Danio rerio: one gene and its partners. The protein of the gene in region 3 interacts with the protein of the main gene of each other region in a pairwise test. Links are inferred from orthologs where the notes say so. Each region holds a gene or a part of one and is shown on either strand. Other genes may lie near its edges. The genes, in order: si:ch73-264p11.1, iqub, trim54, dtx2, tshz3b, cdkn1a and tcea2.

The links.
Region 1: the proteins of trim54 (region 3) and si:ch73-264p11.1 interact in binary tests that used the Homo sapiens proteins (3 or more experiments, as listed by UniProt). The two-hybrid records come from large-scale screens. The link is inferred for Danio rerio from reciprocal best matches to the Homo sapiens genes TRIM54 and SH2D1B.
Region 2: the proteins of trim54 (region 3) and iqub interact in binary tests that used the Homo sapiens proteins (3 or more experiments, as listed by UniProt). The link is inferred for Danio rerio from reciprocal best matches to the Homo sapiens genes TRIM54 and IQUB.
Region 4: the proteins of trim54 (region 3) and dtx2 interact in binary tests that used the Homo sapiens proteins (3 or more experiments, as listed by UniProt). The two-hybrid records come from large-scale screens. The link is inferred for Danio rerio from reciprocal best matches to the Homo sapiens genes TRIM54 and DTX2.
Region 5: the proteins of trim54 (region 3) and tshz3b interact in binary tests that used the Homo sapiens proteins (3 or more experiments, as listed by UniProt). The two-hybrid records come from large-scale screens. The link is inferred for Danio rerio from reciprocal best matches to the Homo sapiens genes TRIM54 and TSHZ3.
Region 6: the proteins of trim54 (region 3) and cdkn1a interact in binary tests that used the Homo sapiens proteins (3 or more experiments, as listed by UniProt). The two-hybrid records come from large-scale screens. The link is inferred for Danio rerio from reciprocal best matches to the Homo sapiens genes TRIM54 and CDKN1A.
Region 7: the proteins of trim54 (region 3) and tcea2 interact in binary tests that used the Homo sapiens proteins (3 or more experiments, as listed by UniProt). The two-hybrid records come from large-scale screens. The link is inferred for Danio rerio from reciprocal best matches to the Homo sapiens genes TRIM54 and TCEA2.

What each region holds. Positions count from the first base shown.
Region 1 is NC_133199.1:29,156,836-29,160,792, reverse strand, and holds the start of si:ch73-264p11.1 (uncharacterized protein), read right to left. Parts: upstream 2,801-3,957; 5' UTR 2,752-2,800; intron 1,879-2,751; exon of another isoform or gene 1,738-1,878; 5' UTR 1,618-1,737; coding exon 1,484-1,617; intron 1-1,483. UniProt on the Homo sapiens protein: Cytoplasmic adapter regulating receptors of the signaling lymphocytic activation molecule (SLAM) family such as CD84, SLAMF1, LY9 and CD244. In SLAM signaling seems to cooperate with SH2D1A/SAP.
Region 2 is NC_133200.1:30,219,505-30,223,802, reverse strand, and holds the start of iqub (IQ motif and ubiquitin-like domain-containing protein), read right to left. Parts: upstream 2,801-4,298; 5' UTR 2,650-2,800; coding exon 2,373-2,649; intron 1-2,372. UniProt on the Homo sapiens protein: Adapter protein that anchors the radial spoke 1 (RS1) complex to the A microtubule of outer doublet microtubules in axonemes. The triple radial spokes (RS1, RS2 and RS3) are required to modulate beating of the sperm flagellum.
Region 3 is NC_133195.1:42,036,189-42,040,488, reverse strand, and holds the start of trim54 (tripartite motif-containing protein 54), read left to right. Parts: upstream 1-1,500; 5' UTR 1,501-1,612; coding exon 1,613-1,780; intron 1,781-4,300. UniProt on the Homo sapiens protein: May bind and stabilize microtubules during myotubes formation.
Region 4 is NC_133180.1:65,451,274-65,454,625, reverse strand, and holds the end of dtx2 (probable E3 ubiquitin-protein ligase DTX2), read right to left. Parts: intron 2,967-3,352; coding exon 2,721-2,966; 3' UTR 501-2,720; downstream 1-500. UniProt on the Homo sapiens protein: Regulator of Notch signaling, a signaling pathway involved in cell-cell communications that regulates a broad spectrum of cell-fate determinations.
Region 5 is NC_133182.1:48,576,844-48,580,840, forward strand, and holds the start of tshz3b (teashirt homolog 3b), read right to left. Parts: upstream 2,801-3,997; 5' UTR 1,774-2,800; intron 1,432-1,773; 5' UTR 1,083-1,431; coding exon 1,043-1,082; intron 1-1,042. UniProt on the Homo sapiens protein: Transcriptional regulator involved in developmental processes. Functions in association with APBB1, SET and HDAC factors as a transcriptional repressor, that inhibits the expression of CASP4.
Region 6 is NC_133197.1:623,148-627,270, reverse strand, and holds the start of cdkn1a (cyclin-dependent kinase inhibitor 1), read left to right. Parts: upstream 1-1,323; 5' UTR 1,324-1,518; intron 1,519-3,078; exon of another isoform or gene 3,079-3,082; coding exon of another isoform or gene 3,083-3,121; intron 3,122-4,123. UniProt on the Homo sapiens protein: Plays an important role in controlling cell cycle progression and DNA damage-induced G2 arrest. Involved in p53/TP53 mediated inhibition of cellular proliferation in response to DNA damage.
Region 7 is NC_133198.1:8,860,857-8,864,858, forward strand, and holds the start of tcea2 (transcription elongation factor A protein 2), read right to left. Parts: upstream 2,801-4,002; 5' UTR 2,620-2,800; coding exon 2,551-2,619; intron 2,064-2,550; coding exon 2,001-2,063; intron 1-2,000. UniProt on the Homo sapiens protein: Necessary for efficient RNA polymerase II transcription elongation past template-encoded arresting sites.

The DNA of each region.
Region 1 (3,957 bases), on a different chromosome or scaffold from region 3:
TTGTTTTCAACACATTCCATAATTTCTAAATTATCAACCCCTACCAAATTGGTTAATTTGTCAGTTTATGTGTAAAGTACCAGAATTAATACATATACTATAAAAAATGTGAAAATCTGAAGTGTAAGTTAATTTAAAAACATAATCATAATAAAACATTTTTGAACAGTAAATCATTTTTTATTTTTTGAAGTGTGTCATGAAATATTTCAGATTCTTATTAAACATGTTTTCTTGTTTTTTTTTTTACAATAAAACCAAAATCAACTGTAGTAGTGTAACAGGATTATATTTGTTTAGTTTTTTTGTAAATCAACAATGCTGTGTAAACTATTATTTAAAACAGTCATTCTTTAGATGACTTAAAAGTCAGTATTTAAAATATGGTCAACCATTTGGTAGAGCAGCCAGTTAAACGGATATTGTGCAACCCTAAATATACCAATTTTCCTGCCTGTACTTTTTAAAGTAAAAACATGTCCACTTAATGAATATAACATAACATTATTGCACTAAGTGACAAAAATCACGCAACACTTTTTTTAAAATGTCATTAATAATTTTTTAAGACTGGTCAAAATCAAAGTTTCACATTTGACCTGCTATAAAATGGCTGTAGTAAAACTTATATTGATGTTTTAGCTTGTTTACTCCTTTATTACATTTCATTATTTGATGTCAACATATAAACCCAAACAAAAAAAAGCGGTGTGGAAAATGTCTTAAATTTATATTTTCATAATTTAAGTATGTTTTTATGATAGTAGCAAGCAAAGCAAGAAACTGATGTACATGTGCAATATGCACAATATTATTATAGCCGTCAATGTAGCTGTCAATACCTGTCAAACTTTACTAGGGGGTGGCTCAGCATATTGTGCAGCCCTAAAAATGCCAATGTTTCTGCCTTTTCCCTGTTTTTAAAGTAAAAACATGTCCAATTAATGAATATAACAAAACATTATCACAACTGTCAATGTAGCTGTCAATACCTGTCAAACTTTACTAGGGGGTGGCTCAACTTAAAGAGATAGCTTAAAGTTAGCTCACCCAAAAATTCTGTCATCATTTACTCATCTTCAATTTGTTTCAAACATGTTTGAGTTTCTTTCTCCTGTCGAACATAAAAGAAAATAGAAGGAAGGACGACGTAAAGCAGGAGCTGTTGACTTGAATGGTATTATTTCTTCCCTCTATGGACTTAATGTCTGCTGGTTTACAACATTTTTCGAAATATTGCTTTGTGTTTAACAAAAACAAACTCACATAAGTTTAGAACCAAATGAGTCTGAGAAAATTGCGAGGAATTATTCATTTTTTGGACGAACTATCCCTTTAAGTACTGTAATCCAGTCTCCATTCATTCATCTGGTAATTGAATAAATACCTTTACACGTTGGTATAACTGAGAAAGCAAGACATTTACAACGAATTAGCTCTGCTCAGTCAATGACTAAAAACATGAATACCAAAAGATACTCACTACACACATAGGCACATAGCTCCCTGAATGGTCTCGCTGTCCCGAATGAGGTAAGTCCCATCCCGCCCTTTGTTGCCGAGCAGCTCCTCGCATCTCTGTTTGGTGATCGCGCCATGATACGATGGATGGTCCATGCTTCACATCGCACGTGTGAGGAGCGGGTAGAGCAGGTCAACTGCTGTTTACACCAAGAGATCAGATGTTTCCGTCACAAGTCCACTTGTTATCTTTGCGGAGGGAATCTTCCTTAATGCCTACACTCAGAAACGATGAATGTGCGTGATGCACGCTTTCCATCAAAGGGCATGCATATCATGCAGACAGACACGAACCAGCTCATAGGAAGTGGGTTAGAGTGCGTAGTGGTCAAAGGAAGTGTAGATGTACCAAAAGCAGTAACCGTGCGATATATATATATATATATTTATCTTAACCTAGCCTATATCATTTTTCATAATTAGTGGCCGTCTTTTACACATGTTCCGTAAATTTAGAACTTTAACAGGTTTAAAAAGATTATTTAAAAACTCACAACCTATAGCATATAGTGCACCCTCACAAATCTATTAAATTCATATTTTTAATAGGAAGCTATACAATGTTATATTTGTGCATATACATTAGATTGGTCAGTACTGAAGCCAAACCTAGAGCTTATCTAACAAAATAACTTACAAATATGTAAAATATCACTAAATATGTTTAGTGACTAAATATTATTTTAATAAATATATATTTAATAAATCTGTTTTGCTTAAATGCACCAAAATACATTGACTATATTTACTGGGAAAAGGATAAAAAATACTCATTTTCAAAATTGGGCGAACTCAATAGGCTATATGCACACAGTCTTTTAATTTTTAGCAAGACAGTCTTTCATTACAAAATTGTCACGTTTAAGGTCTGATTGCTTTAAAAATCAGCGATCTTCACTGAATGTCAGATATACGATAGGCTATAAAGTGGGTCTCAGATCGGACTAGCACTGCATTAAATTACATTTCCCCCCGCCATGTCTTTAAAATATGACAGAATATTTTACCCCAGTATTTTTCAATGGAATTTCTGCAATAGCCTGTTGCTACTGATGGCGCTAGTAATTACAAAGGTCTTTCATCTCGTTTTACACTTGAACAACTAAATGAATGCCTAAGTCTATTTATTGCATGTGTTGTAATCGCATTACAACCATAGACTGTAAAAAATATGGACGTAGTGTCCGTGACGTCACCCATAGGTTTCTGAAGAGCGCAAATGAAGCTTACTGTAGGCGTGGTCAGCCGTCGCCATCTTGGAAGTGCGTCATTCCCGGATACTCGAAAATGGGCAGAGGCGGATCTTAGGCGGAGTTAAGATGACTGTTTGCTGAAACCATAGAGACCATCCCACCACCCGCGACATTTGAATCATTTGAACATCTCAGCGTACTATCGAGGTAAATTAACCTGAAACTACACAACAAAACTTAAAATAATAAATGTTGTTGATATTATTATGGCTCTCTGTGGAAAGCCGTTTTGACTTATTCTTAGGATATGCTTTATTGATTTCAACATTCAGCATTCATTATATTTCTTTCGTTTGAAATAACTGAATTGTTGATATCAACTATTTAATTGTTAACATCAAAAAGTATTCTTTATATAAAATTCTTAAATTAAATATTTTTTTATATCAACAATTAACAGTTGTATGTTCAATGTTGGCAGTTGATATTGTTTACTGGTTGAAATGTGATAAGAAATGCTAGTAAAATGTGACTTGGGTTTATTTACTAACACAATAATGTATTTATTAATAATAGTTCAACATTTAGTAATCCATTTAATTTGAGCTTGTTAACATTATCTAAAGTATTGTGAGTATAACATTTATATTGGAACAAAAGTATTAGTTAATATTAATACACACACACACACACACACACACATCTCTCCCGCGATTTATTCAGAAATTTACTCCCACACCGTAAGAAATCTGGCCGGCTCCCGCGGAACAGCAGTTATACCCGATAGGTCCCGAGTCCGACAGGTACATTTTGACTGACAGCTTTATACAGCCCAAACCCGTTCACAGCCTACATTAAAATGTGCTCATGCACACAGCTCTAATGCATTTTTTTAAGAATGAGTCATTTATATGTTTTAACATCATTTATTCGTAACAAGCGTAGACTATAGGCCACTTGAAAGTTGGAACAAAGAAATAAAATAAGTCCTACAGCTGTAACATCGTAACATCTCAGCGCTCTGGTCTAGGTACATGCACTTAGCCTTTAAATTATCCAACACACCAATGAAAAGTAATCTTGCTTAACAAATCAAATTAAAATAAACTCTAAATGATGACGGGTATTTTGGCAATAACGAAATTAAGATAAAGGCTGTGCAAGTTGTTTCTCCACTTCTCTTCACAATCTGGCATTAAGGCGGCGGTGAAGCTGAATATTAAAAGAATAATGCCACCATTAG
Region 2 (4,298 bases), on a different chromosome or scaffold from region 3:
CCCTGCAATTAGTACAATTGTTATTATTCAATACTTTATTATTATTATTATTTTTCATTTTCCATATTTGTAATACATGTATTTTGGCATTTTTTTTTGCAGTCCACTTAAAATCCAACATGGAAATCAATATTTTTTTTATTGGCATTGATTGTTTTGAAATTCAAATGCCATTAACATGCCCGTGTTTTTATTTCTGTAATAAATATGGCTGTCAAGCCAGGATCTTGATAGTATATTGTGGGTATGTTGTTTACATGAAGAAATCTGTGTTACAAGTTAAACAAAAATTCTAATAATGAATTATATTTTGAATTTAAATAGTATTTGTCTTGCGTTTACATTAATTTTACATTCGAATAGCCAAAATTACAAGTTTGTCTTTTAAATGCGATTAATCGCGATTAATTTTTAAAAAGTGCGATTAATTGGTTAATTTTTTTTTAACCGATTGACAGCACTAGTATATATATATATATATATATATATATATATATATATATATATATAAACAAACATTTTATTCCTCACTGAGTTTTAAATCTAAAGTATGGCAAGCAACATTATGGATTTAAGGATGGACGACATGACAGGACAGATGCAATTTGCAAAATGTGCCGCGCATCTGTAAAATACGCGGGCAGTATGACTAATCTGAAATCTCACTTGAAGCGGCGCCACGGTGTTGTTGTGAAAGCATCTTTCAGTGTTCCTGCATCCCCGGCTTTCGCACTGCTTCAACCAAGTTTTTTGCAACATAGAGCAAGTTTTTTTTCCGTGCGCAACAGTTTTGTGCGCTCTACGCCAATAACGAATGCTATTGCATTGTTCATCTGCAAAGATATTCAGCCTAGTGTCACGGAGAACGAAGGTTTTAAACACCTCCTCCTGTTAATTTTTATTTAATTATAATAATAATAATATTAATAATAATAATGATAAAAATAATGGGTGGCACAGTGGGTAGTTTGACCACCTCACAGCAAGAAGATTGCTGGTTTGTTATATTTTTATCAGCCTGTTGTTTACAGTGACAGTGATGTTTCAAAGCAGCATAACACTGCTAGTTCACAACCTTAAGTTTTGAATAATCAGTGGCAAAATATCTTTGTAAAACTTGTTTTCATAGTTGAAAAGTTAAATCACAATTTTTGTTGTGCAATGCTAAACCTTTATGTTGAAAGAGTGCAAATATATATATATTTTTAATATATATTGCACTTATACATTCTGTTTATCTTGAAAATACTTAAATAATATGTGCTATAGGTTCTAAAATGGCCCTCTACTGTAAACTGACACTCTGGCTCTGAGAGAAGAGCCAGTTTGTAAAAAAAGTCTTGGTTTTGCTTGGTTTATAAATAATCAAACTCATTCAATGGCACCAGCATCCTCTTTCACATCATCTCATAAACTTGATCTAATAAGTTAGTGCTGAAATATCGCATCGTATCGTGATATGGGTGTGAATCGTATCGTGTTGCATCGCAATATGTCACAAATGTATCGCTAATATATCGGATCGTATTCTTTGTATCGAGATGCGTATCGGATCGGCATTATAGCTTAGATGCCCAACCCTAATATATATATATATATATATATATATATATATATATATATATATATATATATATATATATATATACATTCATTTACCTTCGGTATAGTCCCTTTATTCATCAGGGGTAGCCACAGCAGAATAAACCATTAACCCATACACTTTCACATTCACACTACAGCCAAATTCGTTTATTCAGTTCACCATTATTGCATGTCTTTGGACTGTGGGAGAAACCAGAACATGCAAACTCCAGCCGGAACTCAAACCAGCGACCTTCTTGCTTGGAGGCAACAGTGCTAACTACTGAGCCATTATTATTATTATTATTATTATTATTATTATTATTATTATTATTATGTGTGTATATATATCTATAGTTAGTAACTCTTTACCATAAACATTTTTAAATCTCTCTTTTCATATTCATGTAATATTTATATATTTTTTCTGCTTTAACAAAATGTTTTTTATTAGTGCACCAAAAAAAAAAAAAAAAAAAAAAAACACACACACACACATTACAACGACACCATGTAGGGGAAAATACTATTTAATGCATATAGAAATATGCATACATGCTAATAAAAATTAAGCAAATGAGCAGAAACTAAATAAGCAAACGTTTTTTATTTAGATTGAGTTTGTGTATTTTGATTACTTAATTTCACCTTTCATTTAGCTTTTTCTAATTCGAATAAACATTTAAATTATTTAGTTTGCATTACAAAATCCCTATATTTCTCTTTTAAATTTCTATATTACAAAACTGTCATACCTAGATACCAATACTATGGATTCTAGTATTTACCCGTTGCTGTTGAGTTTCCAACATCATTGGAAGAAATGATCTTATTTTCACTTCCTTGTTTGTTTATATCGTCTTGTTGTCTTTGGTCTTCAGAAGTTGGTTCAGCGCTGTTTTCTTCTAGTAAAAGTGTGTCCGGATTTGTAATGACGTCCACACTGATCTCTTGCGTGTGTTCAACATCTTGATCTTCATCAGCCTCCTCAGTCTCTATTTGAATGGCTTCTGATGACATTTTTTGCTCTTCAAGGTTCACAGTTTCACATTCCTTTTCTGACATTGCAGTCACTCAATGCTCAAAATACGCAAAAACACGATTGCCTCTCTTTATTGTGAAAGCTATCTGACGGCGAAATCTTTATTATTGTTTTAAATAAAATAGTGGATCTTATGTTTACGCTGGCTTCACTGTATTTCGGCGCTGCTATGGTAACCACAGTGTCGCCAGTCGCTAGGAGTGTCCATTCACAAATGAGTCATTCGCTTGAGCCGATTCTTTTTTGGTGATTCAGTCTAACCGACTCGCAAAGCGTTTGTAATTGAATGCTAGCTGAACCACTTTGTTTAGGATTATAAGAGTAAGACGGGAAGTAATTTAACTCGAAGAAATTTAACTTCGACTGATGCCCTTGAAAAACTAAACTAAATATAGCCTAGTTCTGATGACAGAATGAATTTAAGCATTAAGTCAAACAGTTGAGTTACTCAAATAGTCATTCATTCATTTTCTTGTCGGCTTAGTCCTTTTATTTATCCGACGTCGGAATGAACCGCCCTCATTTAAATAAATTACTGTTATTTTTAGTCACCATTTTGTGCAAGTTATCATCAATCATTTTCTTTTTAGCTTAGTCCCTTTATTCATCAGGGGTCGCCACAGCGGAATGAACCGCCAACTTGGGTTTTATGCAGCGGATGCCCTTCTAGCTGCAACCCATCACTGGAAAACACCCATACACCCTCATTCACACACATACACTACAGCCAATTTAGCTTACCCGATTCCCTTATAGTGCATGTCTTTGGACTGTGGGGGACACCGGAGCACCCGGAGGAAACACACGTGGCCATGCGAACATGGGGAAAACATGCAAACTCCACACAGAAATGCCAACTGACCCAGCTGACGCTTAAACCAGAGATCTACTTGCTGTGATGCGACAGTGCTATCCACTGCGCCACCACGCTGCCCCACTAATTAATTAAACCAGGCCTTTCAGTTTCATTGTCCAACCTCTGTAGATCTGCAATACCTTTTATTTTCAAATTAATTTACATAATATTTAATAATCAGTTATGACAGTTATGATAATCAGTTTTTTAGATGAAGCTCTTCCTTACTCATGCAAAAATGTGTGGATATGCTTAGTAATTTTGTAAAATGAGTTTAAAAGTTGTCTAATGTCTAATGTTTCTCTACATTAACACTGATTCGTTTTCATTTCCACAACACCCTGTCATTTCAGTCCCCACACACAATTTTTAAAAGTTCTTATCAAACATTAAAAATGTATTCAAAATTTATAAGCTTGTACTCTGTAATATACAAATTCAATGTATTTATTTGTTAATAAGCTCTTTATCAATATAATATTAAATCATAGAGTCTGACAGCTGTACAATTCAGCATTTGTTCCTAAGGGACTAATTTATTCCATTGACAAATGTATAATTATTGTATACATTGTGGAAGAATAGGTTAAGCTAGATACAAAAATGATCTTAGACAATATGACTGGCATCATTTATTTTATTTTGAGATAAATCTTTATATTGAGATGCGGTGGAAATGGCATTGGTTCATTTCATGATGGAAAAAAAGTTGAACATTAACAATTCGTCACGGTCACACAAGGAAGGTTATCTTTTAAGGGTATTTATTTAAAAAACAATGCAGCTGATGCAGAGAGATGAAGCAGGTAAGTGGTT
Region 3 (4,300 bases):
ATAAGCTGCTTATTAACAGTTTGTGAGGTAGTAGTTGGGTTTATGTGTTGAATAGGATAGTGCGTGTAGAATAAGTATTATTAAACAGCCAATATCTTAATAACAGGCAGGTAATAATCCAGTAGTAAATAAATACTTAAACAAAAGTCTTACTAAACCTTCATTTTGCTTTGTTGCTTAACCTCTTTTACATGTGACTAATTAAACTTAATAAAATTCCAATATAATCTAAACTACACTGATATTAATGCATTGCATAGCATTCAATGTATTACTACACTTCAAAAAATGTCTTTTGCTGCTTAAACTACTCTCTTAAAATAAGCTGAAACAACACAATTCTTAAGGGTTTTTTAGGGCACACTTAATATTGGAAAAACTAAGTTAACTTAAGTGAATTGAACAAAAAAATAATATTAAAACAATTAAGTTAACATAAATTATTTGTGTTGAGACAACTTGAGGGAATTGTGTGGAACCCAGCATTTTAACAGTTTATATACTATATTTGTAAACACTGGATTTGCAGGTACAGTGGGGGGAATAAGTATTGAACATGTCACCATTTATAAAACACATAACATGAAATGCATATATAAAAAGAAAACCAACTAAATTAGTTTACAAATTAAGTGTTGTGTAATAAAATGAAATGAGACAGGAAAAAGTATTAAACACATGAAGAAAGAGAGGTGTAGAAAGACAGTGAAAGCCCAGACAGCAGCTGAAATCTCTTAGTAGTTCTTCAGCAACACTCTGCCCTTCATCATTGTAAATGAATATTAGCTGCTTCAGTCCAACATCTACATTATCAGGATGATGAAAATAAAACCACAGTGGACATTTCAGCAAGACAATGATCTAAAACACAGTCAAGGAAACTCTCAAATGCTTTCAGAGATAGGAAATCAAGCTGTAGAATGGCCCAGCCAATCACCTGATTTGAATCCAATATAGAATATGAAATAATGATCAGATTTGATAGACGAGACCTGAGAGCCATCAAGACTTTTACACTGTTGAAGCCAGTGAAAAAAGTCACACCTGAGCAATGCATATGACTTCATTCTCCAAATGAGAGGCGTCTTTAAGCTGCCAAGTCAACAGCACCTTTAGAAATATGTTTTCTGAGAAAAATGTTGACGTGTTACTTATTTCCCCCACTGTATATCCACATAATCTATGTGTTCAGAGCACTTAGGCTTTGTTTTAGGTGGGTTATATCATCGGCGCCAGCTCGGGCTCATGGGCCTGCTTGTCTCACTAGCCTTTGAGTCGCACACACCAGCTGCTTGGTCTGCCATGCCCACTTTCTGCTCAAGTTACCACAGATAACACAACTCTGAGCAATCCGTTCTCCCACCCCTCTCTCTTGCTCTCTCTCTACCCCGGACCCCTCAATGCAGCGCTAACTGGGGTATTCAAAGTGATATTAAGGGGGTGTGCAGTTTGGACAGTAACCCAAGCCAGTACAAACACAGCCCAAATATATCCTCTGCCACTCTACGGTTGGCGATTGATTGGGCATCTGGATGAAGACTGGCACTGCTGGAGAATAACAGAAGGAAAGGAAGTTTAGGATCTTAAGCTATTGACTGAATTTGGTGTCCAAATGAACTTCACTTTGGGCTTCAAACCGTCGATCGGAGATTCCAGCTCAATGGAGAACTTGGAGAGGCAACTGATTTGCCCCATCTGTCTGGAGATATTCAGCAAGCCTGTCGTCATTTTACCCTGCCAGCACAATCTCTGCAGGAAGTGTGCCAATGATGTTTTCCAGGTAATGCTTTATTGCTGTTATTATATAGTGTACGGCCTGTTTTGAACTGTAGTATCTAGAATGCTCATTTAACTTTTGAGAGCTTTTTTGTAATTGTAAAAGCTGGAAGAGGATCTGTGTTTTCAAGCCATCTATTTTCCCTTTAGAATGCCTAATGAGTTTTTAAAATACTGAGTTTGGATTTATAAGTTGAAACTGGTTCAAATGATGCAAAGAGACTTTTTGTTCTTTAATGTAAGGCAAGATGAAGCAAGGCAAACTTTATTTATAGAGCACAATTTTAAGCAACTGTATTTGATCCAAAGTGCTTTGCAATAAAATAAACTAGACAATAAAACTAAAAAACTGGTATTAAATACAAGGAAATGTATATGTTTAAAAGTAATACTAAAATACAAGTTAAAAAAATAATAATAATAATAAATAACATGCATGCATCACTCAAAGGCAAGAGAGTAAAAATAAGTCTTTAAGTTAGATTTAAAAGCATCCAATGAAGGAGAAATCCTGATGTTCAGGGGGGGACTGTTACAGAGCCTTGGGGACACAGAAAGCTCGATCACCTTTTGGTTTGAAGCAAGACCGAGGGACAAAAAAAAAAATTTGGTCATGGAATCTTAACGGTCTACAAGCTGAATAAGGCCTAATAAGTTCACTGACATAGACCGGGGCAGAATAGTGCACTGCTTTATAAGTGAAATGAAGAATTTTAAAATCAACTCTGTATTTTATAGGTAGCCAGTGCAATGAGGCAAGGACAGGGAAGATATGATCTCTTTTCTTAGTTCCTGTTATTAATATAGCGGCTGCAATGTACGCCCCCCACCCCCCAAAAAATCGTAAATTAGCAGTTTTTTGTATGATTCACCCCCTAAACCCCTCACCCCTTCCCCCAACAGAAAAATAGTACTTTAATATATTTTCAGAATTTAAAAAAAAAAAGTTACTTTCAATTTCAAATGTATTTGCTGTATTTTAGATCAAATATATGCAGACTTGGTAAGTGAATAATCTTCTTTCAAAAAACAATACAATTATTTCACCGAACACAATAAGAACGCAATTTCAACATTTTGTGATAACATACCCAAATGATTAAAATACATTTGATTTATTTTAAAAATCATGGTAATTATTATATTTTAAATGTATTTTTAAAATGTAATAACATTATTATACACTGTAAAATTATTTTGTAAACTAGCAGTTTTTGTGATTCACGTTGTTTATTGATGCTTTTATTTATTTGTTCGTTTAATTTTGTTGTTTGTTTTTGTGGAGTTTTCAAAAAAAAAAAAAAAAAACCTCAATATCAATGTTACAATTTTTTTTTTAAACAATAGCTCAGGGTAAACAAGAACATTCAAAAGCCCTCAGTCCCCCATCCCACCCCAAAGGAGGAGATTAAAAAACGCACACAACAACATAAGCACCTACAAGAATTGCAACTAAATAAATATACATAAAATATAAATAACACACACAAACATTAATAAAAAGGGCAGAGATCTTTCTTGAAAAAAAAAATCATATAAATCAGTGAAGAGATGTGTTGTATTCCTGACAAAATTAATTACAAAAGTTTATTTATGCTTTTGAATTACATTATCGGACCTTGATCTTTCTTCCAATAACATATAACCTTGAAAAGTTTAAAAATGTGCCGTTTATGAACCTTTTTTATACTTTAAAGTGATATGTTGTCTGGGTTGGTGCTCTATACGGTACCGAATTGTGTGAAACCTAGCATTTTTTTTTACACTTTGGCATGTTCAAGTGTGTTCAGTTAGTGTTGGAGCAAAACTCTGCAGGGACACCAGCCCTCCAAGATCGAGTTTGTCCATCCCTTAACTAATTGATCAGATATTAAAATGTTTTAAGTTATATTGTTAATGATGTTGTACAGTATTCCCTTAGCTGAGGCCTAATATGAAACCAGAACTCAAAGTACCATAGCATCTGTCATACAGAGATTAATGATCCATTTAGGCTTTCTTTTTTGTGCCAATCTCTTTTACTTTGCTCCTTTTGGCATTAGTTTATTCATCTCATCATCAAGACAAGTTCATCCTTTAGCAGTCATTATTAGTGTTGTTTCTTCTCTCTCTGCGAAGTGAGTGCCATTAGGTCAGACTTCAACATGACTGAGTGCTTCTAATTATACTTTTAACAGTTATAAAAGATATCTGATGGGAACATTACACATTTTTTTGGGCAAATAGATTGATTCTGGCTGGAAGTGCATTCACAGCGTAAAACATATGCTAGAATAGTTGGCGGTTCATTCTGTTGTGGTTACCCCGGATAAATAAGGAACTCAGCTGAAGGAAAATTAATGAATAATACAATAATAATAACACATTTAATTTACAAAGCTCCTTTAAAAGTTACTTTTTTAAAGTGCTTTGCCTACAAACCTCATTTATTAAAGGGAACAACAGTAAAAGATCAAAACAGATTATTGAAAACATGTTAATTAAAAGCAGTCCTAGACAATTCATCATTATATATACTCCAGAC
Region 4 (3,352 bases), on a different chromosome or scaffold from region 3:
AGTGCAGAAATTTACCGTAAAATAACAGACGTCAAATTACAGACATTTACCATAAAATAACAGCCGTTAAATTACAGAAATTTACTGTACAATAGCAGACGTTAAATGAAAGAAATTTACTGTAAAATAGCAGATGTCAAATTATAGAAATTTACCACAAAATAGCAGATGTTAAATTACAGATATTTACTGTAAAATAACAGCTGTTAAATGACAGAAATTTACGTAAAATAGCATACGTTAAATTACAGAAATTTACCACAAAATAGCAGATGTTAAATTACAGATATTTAGCTTAAAATAGCAGCCGTTAAATGACAGAAATTTACCGTAAAATAACAGACGTTAAATGACAGAAATTTAATGGAAATTTCTGTAATTTAATGTCTGTTATTTTACTTTTTTTTTCCAGCATCCCAGCTGCCGGTGAAAAAAAACATTAGAAAACTGATTTTTTTTACAGTATGTATACTTATTAACAAGTAACAGAAACAAAGAGGTGCTGTTAAATGGAGTAGTGTTTATTGCTGATTAGAAGTTGAATATATATTTATATATACAGTTGCATACATTGTAAAACCAAAGATCCCATACCGTGGAATATGAGATGAAGGAATGAATGGATGTTTCCACACTAGCTGTTTGGTAATGAACTGTAATTTTATCAAACACTGCTGATTGTCTCTGTGGCACAATGTAATACTGCAACTCAATAATAACGCTGCGAGACTGCATTTTTTACGTGTACTTTCAAGGTCCCGTTCGTAATAAAATCAGCACTGATTTACTTGATGTACTTATGAATAAAACCAGCACTAGCAGTATTGCCAAGCTTGGATTTTGAAATCGATAAAATGAACGTAAATTCAAAGTTGCAATATTTTGTGGAATCAATGAAAACAAACAAGTCCCTTATGTTTATTAATTAAAAGAATAGCAGCAAGTGAGAAATCACCAAATCTGACATCTGAAAAAAAAAATTAAATATGAACTAAATTAGCTGCAGATTCTGTAAAAGTGCCTTTTATTTCTGAAGCGGTACGTTTTACAACACTAGTAAAGATTTATGATTTGCACTGATGTGCAATTTTATGTTTTTGTATATTACTGCTTTAAAAAGTGATAGTTCATCCAAAATTAAATTGTACTGTTAATTTACTCACCCTCTTATCATCTATGATGTTTTTTCCAGTGGTCCTTGATGAGTCATATGATGCATGTCAAAAAATATCAGCACTTTGGGAGTGTAAAATAAAATAAAAGTAAACATACAGACAAAACAAAATGAATACATATGGCTCCTGGAGATACAAGAGGTCTTGTAAAGCAAACTGACTGGCCTGTGAAAGAAACTGAACATTATTTATAGCATAACATTACTGGAGTATAAACGCCCTGTTGCATAATGACTTCTATTAAACATTAAAGAAACACTCCCCTTTTACTTTTAAAAGTACCATAGAGTTTTACCATATTTTAATCCATCCAGTCGATTGCCGGGGTCTGGCGAGAGCACATTCAGCTTAGCTTAGCATAATTAACTGAATCGGATTAGACCATTAGCATCTCAAAATTTTCAAAAGACAGTTTCATTAATTTTCCTATTTAAAGCTTGACTATTCTCTGTCTACATTGTGTACTAAGAGTGATGGAAAATTTAAATATGGCTATATGATATTTCTACACTCTCATTCTTGAATAATAATCAAAGAACTTTGATGCCGTACCATGGCTGCGACAGGCACAATAATATTATGCAGCACTTAAATAAAAACTACAGAACTTTCAAGCTTTACATAGCAAAACTATCAAAACTTTTTTTTGCTAATTTTGGTAATTTTTTTGAGCAAGATGCTAATGGTCTAATCCGATTCAATAAACTGTGCTAAGCTAAGCTTAAACATTAAGTTAAGCTTTCAACAGACCTGGAGATTAGTTCAATTGGATTCAAAAACTGAAAAGTTTACCAATAGGTGATTTGTAAAGTGAGGCAATTAAAAATTTGTAAAATGAGCCTATTAAAAGCCTATAAACTAACCTGTAAAACGAGCCTTCATTAAAAGTATTCTTTAAAAATGTTTACATTTTGCTTAACAAAATGCCATAATCCATTGTTCTCTTGATCTTTGGGAACCATTCGGCTCTGGATAATAGGTAATAATGTAGTAATTAATGTTCAATTTCATCATTTCTTTTCATAAGACCTCAATGTAGCAACAAGAGCAAACGTCCTTTTGTTTTGCCTGTACATGCATTGAAATTTTAGCTAAAAAATAGTCATTAAATGTTCTATTAAAGCCCAAAAAAAGTCTTGGATGGCCAACAGCTTTTAAAAAAGCTAATGTCATATGCGGTTGAGCTTTCCCTTTAACGAAATAGTGTCAGCTTGATTCCCAGCAACAGTACAATGATCTCTGCTCTACTGTAATGTAGTATTTGAGGAAGGACGTCACAGCTCTGTATATTGAGATGAATGCCTAAACTGGCGATAGAGGTCATTAAACCCCGAGTCGTTCCTGCAGAACCGTCAGTAGCTGCCTCACAATACGCTGAAACTAAAGATGACCACGAAGCCCACATGTGCGTTAATATTCTAGACTCGGCCGTACGCGTGGAAATGGATGAGTTGGTATCAACATCCAAATCTCTTGGTGAACAGCGGACACTCTAGTTTTGTTTTCTTCCCTTTTCGTCAAGTTAGATCTACCGTAGCCGGTTATTCACATGGCAGAACCTTGAGCGTCTCGTTTGAGGCAGTCTTCGGTTACGCCCTGCGATGCCAGTTCTGAGAGCACATTGTCCAGGTAGTTTGGGTCAGGATACCCATGGCCAGACACATTAGACATCATCTCAGTCTTGTGGTGGATCTCGTTCCATATGACGGTGTCGGGCTCGCCTGTGGTGCTGGAAGTGCCCACGGTGAAGATGAGACGGCGTGTCCATGCTACTTTCAGCAGCTCCAGCACCTGCAGATGGTAAACATGAACGTAATAAACAGCCTCAGTTTAAGGAGTTAGTTCACCCAACAAAGACAATTCTGTTATTGATGTTATTTTAATCCCCTGAGAGCTTCCTTCATCTTCACAACACAAATTGAAATATTTTAGACCAGTGTTTCTCAACCACGTTCCTGGAGGACCACCGGCTCTGTGCATTTTCCATGTCTCTTTAACCAAACACACCTTATTCCGATCATCAGCTCATTAGCAGAGACTAAAAGACCAGTAATGGGTGCGACAGACAAAGGAGACAACCAAAACATGCAGTGTTGGTGATCCTCCAGGAACGTGGTTGAGAAACACTGTTTTGGATGAAATCTGAGAGCTCTTTGGTCCTCCATTGATAGTTTTGA
Region 5 (3,997 bases), on a different chromosome or scaffold from region 3:
TATATATTCTGTTATTTTTAGACAGTTCATTAGAATGAAGCAGAACTATCGTTGTTTTTAAACGGTGTGTTTCTGTGTGTGTTCCTGATGTTGGTGCTCTTTAAGCAATAGGAGTAAATGTGGCCTTGTTCATGGCCTATGTGGAAACAAAAAGTAGAAATGCAGCAATTAAAGATGTTTTAATGGATGGCTGTCAAAGCAGACGTGACGTCACGGGGTTGTGGCGTTGCCATGGCGAGTGATTTATTGATGTTTATCAGGAATGAATAGATCAAAGAGCATCCGGATGACAGGCGATCAATCAGCCTTCAAATCAAAGATGGCAATTGTCCATTAAAGGCTCTTCTTAGACCATCGCGTCAGCTACAAAATAATCTTAAAGTGTCATTCCCAGAAACGGAGAGGAAGAAATAATAAAGAAGAAAATTAATGAGCAAAATAAATAAAGTTGTCAAATGAGATCAAATGTGTTGCTTTCGCACAAAAGCCCCCAAAACAACGAGCATCAAAGGGAGTCATGACAGTCAGCTGACACCCAAGCCCTTTTTTCCTGCTCTTCTTTATAGATCTCTAATTCATGGAGTCAATATCTACGCCCTACGAGGAAAGCGAGCGGTGTAAAAGAGAGAACAATCAAAAGACTTACAGTCGACTCAGCTTCAGCTGCACGGGGACTGACCAAAGTACAAGAACTAGGCTAGTGAAAGTGTGCTCTTGAATGAAGTTCAACTATTATTCAGTCGTTTGACTGCTATGTGGCTTTAAACAATCTCCTACACAAATGTAATAAAAATAATTAAAAAAAAACATAGGCTTTTAAAATTATAATAAAAAGACAAAGAAGAAATGAAAAAGTTTTTCGGCGTTTAAACCCATCTGATAAAGTAAAGGAGGAGTGGGTAGTATTTTCAAATCATTCACAACACTCGCGCACACACATACTGCGTTACTAAGAAAATCGTGCAAAAAATAAAAAAATACATCTGAGAGGTGAAGAAGAGCAAATGAAGAAGAAGAAGAGGAGGAAGAAGAAGAGCCGTACCTGCCGAGCGCCGGGGCGCTTGCTGTTTCCTCCGCGGCATGTTTCTCTTTCAGGGTTTTTTTTTCAGGAGCCCCTGAGATCCCGAGAGCTGCTCCGCTTCTGCTCTGATACACGGCACCTGGGGCGCTTTCACACGCCTGACATGTATCGGCAGTTTTCAAACCAAAAAATCAGACGGCAAGATCTGAAGAGGATGAAGACGAAGCGGGATTTTCCCCCTCTTTCCTCTCTCTCTTTCCCCCCGCGCGTCTTTTGGATATGACGGAGAGTCGAGCCGCTACAGTGGGGAGAAAAACCGCTCGTGCCTCAGTGCGATCCTCACTCACTCCGCGCTGGAAGCTGCAACAGGCAAGCTTAAAGGAAAACGAAATGATCGCGTCACTCAAAGTCTGCAAACAGAGGCAAACATCAAGCACTGTCATATTAACTCCTTCCATCTCGAATGGGTTAGCTAGCTCATGTCATGTGGGTAGGCATATGTCTCTCTCTCTCTCTCTCTCTCTTCCTCTCCCCCTCTCTCTCCCTACCGCAGCCAACCCCAATGCACTCTAATAGTAAAAGTAGCAGCTCACAAACACAACAACTATAGATATGCAATGATTGACACTTACATAGGCATGTAGCAAATCGACAATCTGAGTTAACGTTTTTTTTGTTTGAGCGTAAAGCCAGTGCAAGGCAGGCAGCAGTGATCAGTGATTTACAAACATAAACATCAAAGCTTTACTTACGCGATCGCCCGAATAAACGTGTTATCCATGAGGAATCCTTCTGAGTAATCGCATACAATTTGAAAAGCCCCCCCAAAAATACAAAAAAAAAAAAAAAAAAAAAAACGAGCGCTGCTGTCGCCGATAGCTTTCTGTGAAAATCCCAAAGACTCCAAGTGCCCACCGTCTTTCAAACGTCCATCTCTTTCATAATAAACAAACCGGGGGAAAGACAAAAAGCTTGAAGGAGGAGATGGACGGACTTGTCGCCCGCGCGCTGCCTCGTTTGCTTATTTTGTCCCCGCGCGTTGGGAATCCGCTGAGAGAATCGATGCGATAGGTGTTTGATTGGGTATTCCTGCTTGTAATAACGCACATCAGAAGGAGGGGATGGACTCGGGCTGCGCCTCAGCTGCTGCTGCTGCGAGAGCATGGATCACTGAGCTATTGCCAAACACTTTCTTGGCCGCTAATAGCACTTTTTTAGCCTTCTTTGTGGGGCTTGTAGCAGGTATTTAAAAACAGCAACGGGCGAAGCAGACGCGTCTTCCTCTCGCTCCCGAGACGCCTTTCTCTCCTCTAATGTCACTTTCGAAAATCCGTTGTTTTCTTCACAGAATGGACTTTTTAAGACGGTAAGATCAACATTTTTTCAAATATGTCCATCTACTTAAGACAAAAAATAGCAAGTGTTATGAAAGAGACAGTTTTATGCGTAAATTGGAGTCAGTGTAAAGTCATTTGTAGTGGAGAAATGGCGAAGTTGTCCGTTTTGGATGAGGAGATTGGAACTGTGAGACTCCTCTCTGTTTACTAGCTGAGGGTGAGTTGTTGTCAGACTCTGCCTCCTCCACTGAAGTCCTCGTCTTGTCCTGGAGCTCCTGCTGTCTCCTCTCACATCTCACCGCGGAGGGAACCGCGTCGAGTCCTCGGGAAAAGGGGGGCAGTCGGGAAGTCGCAGCGTTCAGTAAAACCCCCTAAAAATGTCCAGAACCTCTTGAATGTCCGCGCGCCGAGCTCACAGGGGCAGATTGAAAGGGAAGAGAGCGGTCTTTCAAGGATCCGGGATGTTTTTGCCCAATCTCACTCACTCGTGTGTGCATGCCGTTAGATCCGCCCAAGCATCTGTCCGTCTAACCATTGGCGCATCCATCAGTGTCACACACACACAGACACACACACGCCGCACGGAGTCGCTTTAACTACGGGCAGCTTCTCTTCTTCATCAAACCACTGATAAAGCAAGATTACAGTGCTGAGTGGGGGAGGCTTTGCGATTTTGTTTCGTTTAAGGAATAATGAGCTTTATAATTACGATAGCGCTAATGGGTAATCGGAAACTAAGTGGCAAGTCTATGTGCACGAGAGTGGATTTGAAAACTTTAGCGGAGAAATGTTTCTATAGCCACAATGTTACGCGTTTATAATAGTTTACCAACGAGTATGCTAAATCGCATTGGTTTTTGCGTTAATCGGATCAGATATTCATAAGCTAGCATATAAGAATTATTTACCCTTTATTTATTTACTTTCTTTAAAAAAGTCTGACACTACTTTTTAAATTCTCTTTTGCAGTTTTCACGGTTGGGGTAAATCTTTTACTGGTTTATTTTATTTGCTATGAATTACAGCTTTATATAAAATTTATTCTGGACTGCTGTGTTCATTTTTAGGGCCATATTTCAACGATAGTTTTAGTATGAGCATGTGACCACTGACGAAAAAACCTAATTAGGCTATATCATTAAATCTTGTTTTGAACTCCGAATTTAGTTGACTACGTCTCTAAAAGTCTTAAAGACTTTCGTTGTCTTAAAGACTATATAACATAGACAGGTAATATTTTTCCTCAGCTTTGTACTTTGTGAAGTGTAGATGCATGGGCCTATATCCAAATAATAAAACAAATAAATACAAGCAATTAGCAAATAATAAAATGGAATCTTCTTGTAATAACTACAAGTTATAACTAAGTGTGTGTGTGCGCGTTTCTGTGTGTGTGAAACAGAGAACAGCTGCACATATGAACGTGAGCGCGCAGTTCAGTGTATCCCGCCCCCTTTTTATGTGCTTATCCTAAAATCCCCAAAATGTTCGATTGTAAATTACATCGATTTAGGAAGTTTTGCATTATTATTTTGCCAAAAATGACAACACTGTGATTGTTCTCAGTTACTCAAAGAGAAGAAAAGGTACGTCACATTTTTATTTCACTTCATTTTTTCTGTGTTTCTCATGTGTATAT
Region 6 (4,123 bases), on a different chromosome or scaffold from region 3:
GTATGCAAGTATATAAGTGTATATATAAATCTATTGCATCCCTGCAAAAATAAATATATAAATAATTATTCGTGCGGTTTGAAAGAAGGAAAAAAAATGCTTCATTTTCAGTTGAACATTTTCTTATTCCCCCGACATCTGTATAATTTATTTAATTAATAATCTCGCCGCACTATTTTTATATTTATTTATGCAGGAATTTGTGGGTTTTATATGTATTTATTTGCATATTTATTGTTTTATTTCTGCAGGAATTTATGGATTTATTAAGGCCTACTTATGTATTTGTGTATTTATTTATTGTTTTATGTATGAAGGAAATTGTGGATTAATAAATATTTATTCATGTATTTGCATATTTATTCATTTATTGTTTTATTTATGCAAAACTGTGGATTTATTTATTATTTATTTGCATATTTATTTATTAATTTATTTATTTATCTATTGTATGTATATATATATGTATGTATATATATATATTGTTTTATTTATGCAGGAATTTGTAGATTTATTCATGTATTTGCATATTTATTTACTCACTGTTTTATTTATGCAGGAATTTGTGGATTTACTTGTTTATTTATTTGCATATTTATTTGTTTTATTTGTGCACGAATTTGTAGATTTATTAATTTGCGTATTTATTGTTTCATTTATGCAGGAATCTGTGGATTTATACTTTTTTATTTGCGTATTTATTTATTTATAGTTTTTGCAGGCTTCATCCTCCATATCTGTACCATTAAACAAAAATTACGAAACATTGCAGTTTTATAGATACTAATCTTAGGAAACAAATATGTGTGTGTGTGTATGTGTATATATATATTAGTTCAGGAAATCTCACTTTGTTAAAAATTGTGTTCCTGACGTCATACATGCAAGAACAGTGTTTTTTCTCCACGTTTACACACTTTTTTTTTTTTCTTACAAAGGCTGAAAGACCAAAAAACACCAAGCTGTAAATCAGTACATCTGGGTGGGGTTACTATATGCCCAGCAGCTCCTGGAGAAGTACTTCAGAAATGTTTAATATATCTATTAAATATATGTGCTTATTTGAATTGTTAGCGTGATCACTGATTTCTCTATATTTGTTATTGATGAGTAAATAATAGCACAGTCTCGTGTAAAAACAGCGCGTTTTCTGGGCGGCTCCTCGGAAGGTTCTGTTCTTTTCTGTGACGCTGATCTTCTGGAATGTCTCCACGCGCTCACGTGTGGTCATGTGTTTACCGGGCTTCTAGTCCACGTGCAGCGCTCGCAGGCTCCGCCCACCGCCTCGACACGCCCATCGGAGTTCATAAAGTTTGGGAAAGTGTCGTCAGAGGCAGCAGAAAAACTCCAGTGTGCAGATCCTCCAGCTCAGGATTGAGTTTCTCCACACTTCCAGCTTCAGGTGTTCCTCAGCTCCTGTTTTAAACCTGATACTGCTCCTGAGGAGATCTGAAACCCTCACATTCACTCTGACATCAGCGGGTTTACAGTTTCAGCTCTTGCAGAAGCTCAAAACATGTAAGTTGCATGTTTTAAATACTTTTGCACGTTTGTTGTCGGGTATTTGCTTATATATTGCTTTATATATGCTGAAATTGTGTTAATGTGATGCTGTGAGTGCTTTAGTGGAACTTTTCTAAACTTTAGTTTGCTCTGTCAGATAACACTCGACTGAAATAAACACCTCAGACTGACTTTAATCGAGAACTGTGCTGATCGACCGGTGTGAGTTGTGATTGATCGATTGTTATTGTGTTATTGTGAACTCCAAAGTCTCGGTCGTATCAGATCTCGACGTGTTTTCCACCGGCTTACACGAGTTTCAGCTTCACGTGGAGCGCTGGAGTGAGAGGGCGTGTTCTTGTCAGCTTCTGGCCAATCACAGGCGGACTCGGTTTCCCGCTGACTTCTTGAATTTTTTTTTCCTCGAGATGAACGGCACGTTCCATCGCAGAAGCCAATCAGAGTCCAGTGACAGGCGCGTGACGTCACCAATGAAACTTCTTTCTTCATCTAATTTTTTTTTTTTTTTTTTTTATTTTTTAGAAAATAACTTTTTGAAAATTGGGCGGAAAAAACTCTAAAGAGCACGCCACATTACAGAAATATTCAGAACTACCAATGATTTAATACACTGTCAGATTTAGTAAGTGTATTATTTTCTATATATTTTAATCATGACATGCATTATTTCAGTGAATTATGCAGTTTAGTTTGTCAGGGTTGTGGTGTGGTAAGTCTCTTAAAAATCTTAAAGGTCTCCTGGTAAGTCTCTTAAAATTAGAATCAGACTGAACATCTTAGATAAAAAATTTGACCTCTGACCCTCAAGAACATGTTGCCCATTATAATGCACGAGAGTTCATGACGGGTGTATATATATATATATATATATATAATCATATATTTTAGTAAGTAATTTTATTTTGTTGATGATGCATATATTAAATGCACACATACAGTACATACACACCCATATATATATATATAACGCCAACTTTTATGAAGAAAACGTATAATATTGGCATTTTGCTAAGTAAATATGTAGATATCATGTATCTTACAAAGAAAAAACTCAATTTTGTTAAGTTTCATTCATTTAATGCAGATTAAGATGGATTATCATTATAAAATTACACAAAGTTTTGTGTAATTTAAACATTATTAACTTAATTTTTCAACTTTTTTAAATGAATGAAAAGTCAATCAGTTGCCTAATATGGTGATTTTTTAAAAACTATTTACCATAATATTAAGATAAAGGTTAAAAAGGAATTGAATTATAATGAACACTGTCAGTTTTAATGACAGTTCTTAATATTACATTAAGATTCTAGTTTTCAGTTTAAAGGCTTAACCAAGTTACTTTAAGTCATTGGACTACAGTGGTTTGATAATGAAGCTTCACTGCTGGACTAATAATGTAGCTGTTCAGCTGTAGGCGGCGCTGCATGTCTAGCGCTGCTCCCTCTGGCGGCCAGGCGCGCTCACTGCAGCCGCTCGAACATGCCCGAACAAATGCCGGTCCTCTGTGACTCACTGCCCAATATAAAAGCACACCAGCCCGCAGAAACTCTCAGTCATGACAGCTCAGAGGCGCAGAGCTCGCGTGGAGTCAGCAGTAGGATATTTATGCGAATTAACCAGGAAAATGTTTTATTAGCATGCGAAATGTTAAGGTTTTCTGGATTGATCTATATGTTTTTTTGTGTAATACCTTACTGAATTATGATTATGTAGTTGTCTGTAATTACCTATTGATATTTATATTATTATTTATTTTTAAAATATTAGATTATAAAGATTTTTGCATTAGTAGATAAAAAAATATTATTTAATGAAGTGTGTGTGTGTGTGTGTGTGTATACATATATTTATACATTTATTTATTTATTTTTTTTATCTATTAGAATTTTGTAGTCACCATTTGTATTTGTTTTTTTTTATCCCTTTTTGATTGATGTAACTATGTATTTATATAATAATATATATTTCTAGGTCTCTTATAGAATTATGAAGTTGTCTGTTTATGTAATATTGGATTGTTATAATGACACAAAGCTATGGTAAATCTATGCTTGGTGTTGCAAAACCCTATTTTTAGCATGGTCTAACTTCCAAATAGTAAACAGTAAACTTTAGGGCTTAAACATAGGTCTGTATGACTGTGGCTTTATTTTAAAGTACACAAGAAATCCTCTTGTTGTTAGCTCACATTGCTAATTTTGTGATGAACACTTCATCTGTGCATGTTATTAACAAAACAATAGTTTACATTGTAATCCTTAATGTAAATCTGTAAATGAACTTCCTGTTTGTTCAGGTAAATTCTCAGATTGATCTGTCTGAGGTATTGGGTGTGGCTAACATTCTTAACCACACCCCTAAAACTGTCATCGCTATGACAACAAACAAAAATAAGTAGGAGGAGGAGTCTGTTCGGTTGTAATAACTCTCCCCAAACCCTTTTCCCCATCTTTCCCCAATGGAACGCCTACTCTACTACAGCCAATCAGCTAGCAGTAGAAGAAAACAAGCCACGCCCACTGTTTTCATTTAGAATTCAGTTTGTCTAGGAACTGCGTCACAATACGAAAAAAAATGCAGGTTCTGGTTCATGTGG
Region 7 (4,002 bases), on a different chromosome or scaffold from region 3:
TGATATCGAAAGACAAAGCCAGAGCTCTGGGGTATTTCCTTCTGAACACTGATGATCTGTTGTGCTTTAATTTCTCCTCAGGGACCAATAAGGGCTGTTTGTCTGCACATTACCTCCATCCATATTGACTAAATCCATCTCAGGGGTATTACAATAAAAAAAAATAAATAAATAAAATATTAAACAGAAAATATTTTGCTCATCATCTAAAACGAACTCTAACTGAAATTAGTAAATATTATAAAATTAAATGCTTATAAAATTCAATTCAGGTTTATTTCTATAGCACTTTTTACGAAGTAGATTGTGTTAAAGCCCCTTAACAAAGTTCTAGAAAATAGAATTTGTATGAGTCCAGATGTCAAAGTTGAAGTTCAGTTTAGTGTGGATAAATTTTCACTACTGAAAGTTCAAACACTGAAGAGCAAATCCATCGATGCGCAGCTCCACAAGTCCCAACCAAGCAAGACAGTGGAGATAATGCATTATATTTATGTTTTCAGTTATTTCTCACATTCATTTGCTTAAATTACCTAAACCAAAGTAAAAAACACTGACTGTTTATGCAATTTAGTAATGTAGGGTGAAATAAATAACTAAATAAAATTGAAGTAAATAAACTGTGCCTTTTGTGCATCATTTTGGCATTTTGTAACATTGGCAATATGATTAAATCATAAATCAAAAAATAAACACGAATGATACTAAATTAAATTCAACGAACAAACTGGAATTGAAAGCACATCGTAGTTTAATTCATGAAAGTTGCTCTGTTGTGTGCTTTTTATCAAATTCAAGCAAAAAAATGGTCTTGAATGCATTTGTGGTCTTCTAGATTTATAGTTTCTGCCATTTAAAAGAAAGAAAGAAAGAAAGAAAGAAAGAAAGAAAAAGAAATTAGCACTTCTGAGATCAGTCAGCAGGGTTCATTAGGTGTGAATTGCTATTTTTTACGTACTCATCCGAAAAATTGTCAAACGCCATGACATTATAGATCATTTTGAGACATGCAAACAAAAACAATGGTCCCAGCGTATTTTTCTGTTTTACATTTTATAATTTCTAAAGCTTTCGAGAATCTAAAGAGAGCCACACAATGATAAAAGTACTCAATAGTGAGAATTGAGTATTACTCTGTGAAAAGCTGATGCGTGTACATGCAATTTGTGTGTGTGTGTGTAAACGTAACATTCTGTAGTGCATTTAGTGATTGTTTAAGTCCATTTGACAATTTCATCATACAGTAAACACCCTTCATCTTCTTATCAGTGACATAGTTTAAAAAGCCTCTGGCTCATTGCGTGTAAAGATTTTTGACATCTTCTTGGACAATTGCAATACTTTTACAATGGTTTGCTGCATGTATAAAGCATCCATGTATTGAGGTTGTTCAATATGATGCAATTGAGTTTTCTCTGTGCGATTTGATTTGGACAGGAATCGCTGGATAGATTTTTTACTAAGCCAATCCCCGTACACAAGAAAAAAACAAATAGTGACTGCAGGTTGAAGGAAAGTAGTGGAGTAAAAGTACAGATACTGCTGTAAAAATGTACTCTAGGGGAAGTACACATTTTTAAAACTACTTCGTAAATTACAATTCCTGAGAAAAAAAAACTACTCAGTTTTAGTAATCGGAGTATTTGTAATTTGTTATTTTACACCACTGCTGTTGTTACAGTAATGAAATAGTTTGATAACAAGCAGAAAATGTTCACTGGGCCAATGACATGACAACATTGAATTCGTCTATAGAGTTGATTACATTTTCATGACTGGATTGTGAGAATTTGATTGAGATTTCAACGTCCTCTCCTATATTCGGGATTGGCTCATAGTAATTTATTCAGATATTTTCTGCTGAAATTCCAACAGTACTAACAGTATGCCAATGAGAACACTAGCATGGGATTCCCTGACAGAAAGAAAAAGAGTTGATTATATAATCTAGCACAGCACACACTCGTTCCAGAGATGCCTTCTGCAGTCTATGTAGATACCTGTAGGGTCTCCAAAGACATTTTCATGTTCTTCAGCTCCTGAAGCAAGTCAATGGCACCATCCTGAACATAAAAACACAAGGAGGTGAGAAACAAACAAAATTGGTAAACAGTCACTACAACAACTTCTTAAATGCGTCAGTAAACACTAGCTTCTTCAACTATAGCTTGGTTTACACAAAAACACAGGCAGATACTATGTTTTGGGGACGAAACTGGGGCTGACTTGTGTGAAGTACTAGATAAATGAGTCTTTTGTTTGCGCTGGAGAAATTTGGAGAACAACCAGCTGCCAGCTCATCACAGCACACAAACGCTTCAAACATGAGAGTACAAAACGAACGAGTGATTGTCAATGGAGACTGACCAATAAGAGCACACCGGGCGGTAGTCTGGAATAGGATGAAACAGGTGATAATCACACACACACCAACTAGTCTCCTGCTGGTTTAACGGATACAAACATGAACGAACGAACGTCGAATAAACAATGTTCTCCTGCCTGTTTTATTATTATCAGATGCTACAGAAAAAAATGTGTGTCACTTACGGTGTTTTTTTTGTGCACCATTTTGTCCAGCTTCTTGGCGATGCGCTCCACTTCTTGGTCCTTCACCATGTTTGCAGGTTTAGGGCTGTTTGATGGCGCCCGGTGGCCAAGCCTCCATTTACGTGTGAAAATGCGCCCGTCTCTCTCTCTGTGTGTCTCTCTTTTAGTGGCAGAATGAGAGGAATCCACTGCCTTTCACTTCGCTCTCGTCTGTTGTTGCATGGTTGATTCGCGAGCGAGTCGTTCTTATGAGTCGAATCATTTTAAAGAATCACTTGAATTCGAACGATTCGTTTACGAACGAGATTGAATCAGTGACTGTGCTTCTCGACACAACAACTCACCAATTGTTTGGAAAATCATTCAAGAACATCGTCTTTTCTGGCCATTTTATTTCGTAATGACACAAGAGTATCATTTTAAGTGACCAAAATGGAGTGAAAGGTAAGTTATTAATGTACTTTACTGGCTATATGGTTCTGTGGGAATTGTCAACACAAAAGTCAAAAAAGTTTCAGGATATGTCCAATGCTTGTGAGCCACTAACTAACTAGGTCAATGTGAATTAAAATAAACACGTTTGATAGTAAAAAAAAAAGGTTAACTATTGCAGTATTGATTTTCTAAGCCTATTTTATGCCACAAAGAGATGTCATTTGGTCACGTGATGACATAAACAAAAATCATCCCTGAATTGTTCATTGAGTGGTGTTTGAAAGAATCGATTCGCGAAAATGAGCTGCACTGCACATAGTTTCTGTTTCGAAGCAGGGTGTTGTGGGGAGTGGAGTTTATTCACCACAGAAGCAAGCAGCCAGTTTGGTGTAAAAAAAACAAAAACAAAACAATAACAACTTTAGGTTATTAAGGAGACAATGCAGTCCTAACACGGATTAAAGAGTTTTTAAATTATTTGACAACTGCAATCGTCATACTCCAAAATTATATTCATCATCCAAAAAGGGTTTAGGCTATATTATATTTTATTATAATATATTATTCATTTATTTATTCATTTTCTTGTCGGCTTAGTCCCTGTATTAATCCGGGGTCGACACAGCGGAATGAACCGCCAACTTATCCAGCAAGTTTTTACGCAGCTGATGCCCTTCCAGCCGCAACCCATCTCTGGGAAACATCCACACACACACACACACACACACACACTCATACGCTTCAGACAATTTAACCTACCCAATTCACCTGTACCTCATGTCTTTGGACTGTGGGGGAAACCGGAGCACCCGGAGGAAACCCACACGAAGGCAGGGAGAACATGCAAACTCCACACAGAAACGCCAATTGAGCCGAGGTTCAAACCCGCGACCCAGCGACCTTCTTGCTGTGAGACGACAGCACTACCTACTGCGCCACTACCTCGCCTTATATTATATATAGTTAATCTGGGGATGCCACTGCGGAATGAACCGCCAACTTATCCAGCATTTGTTT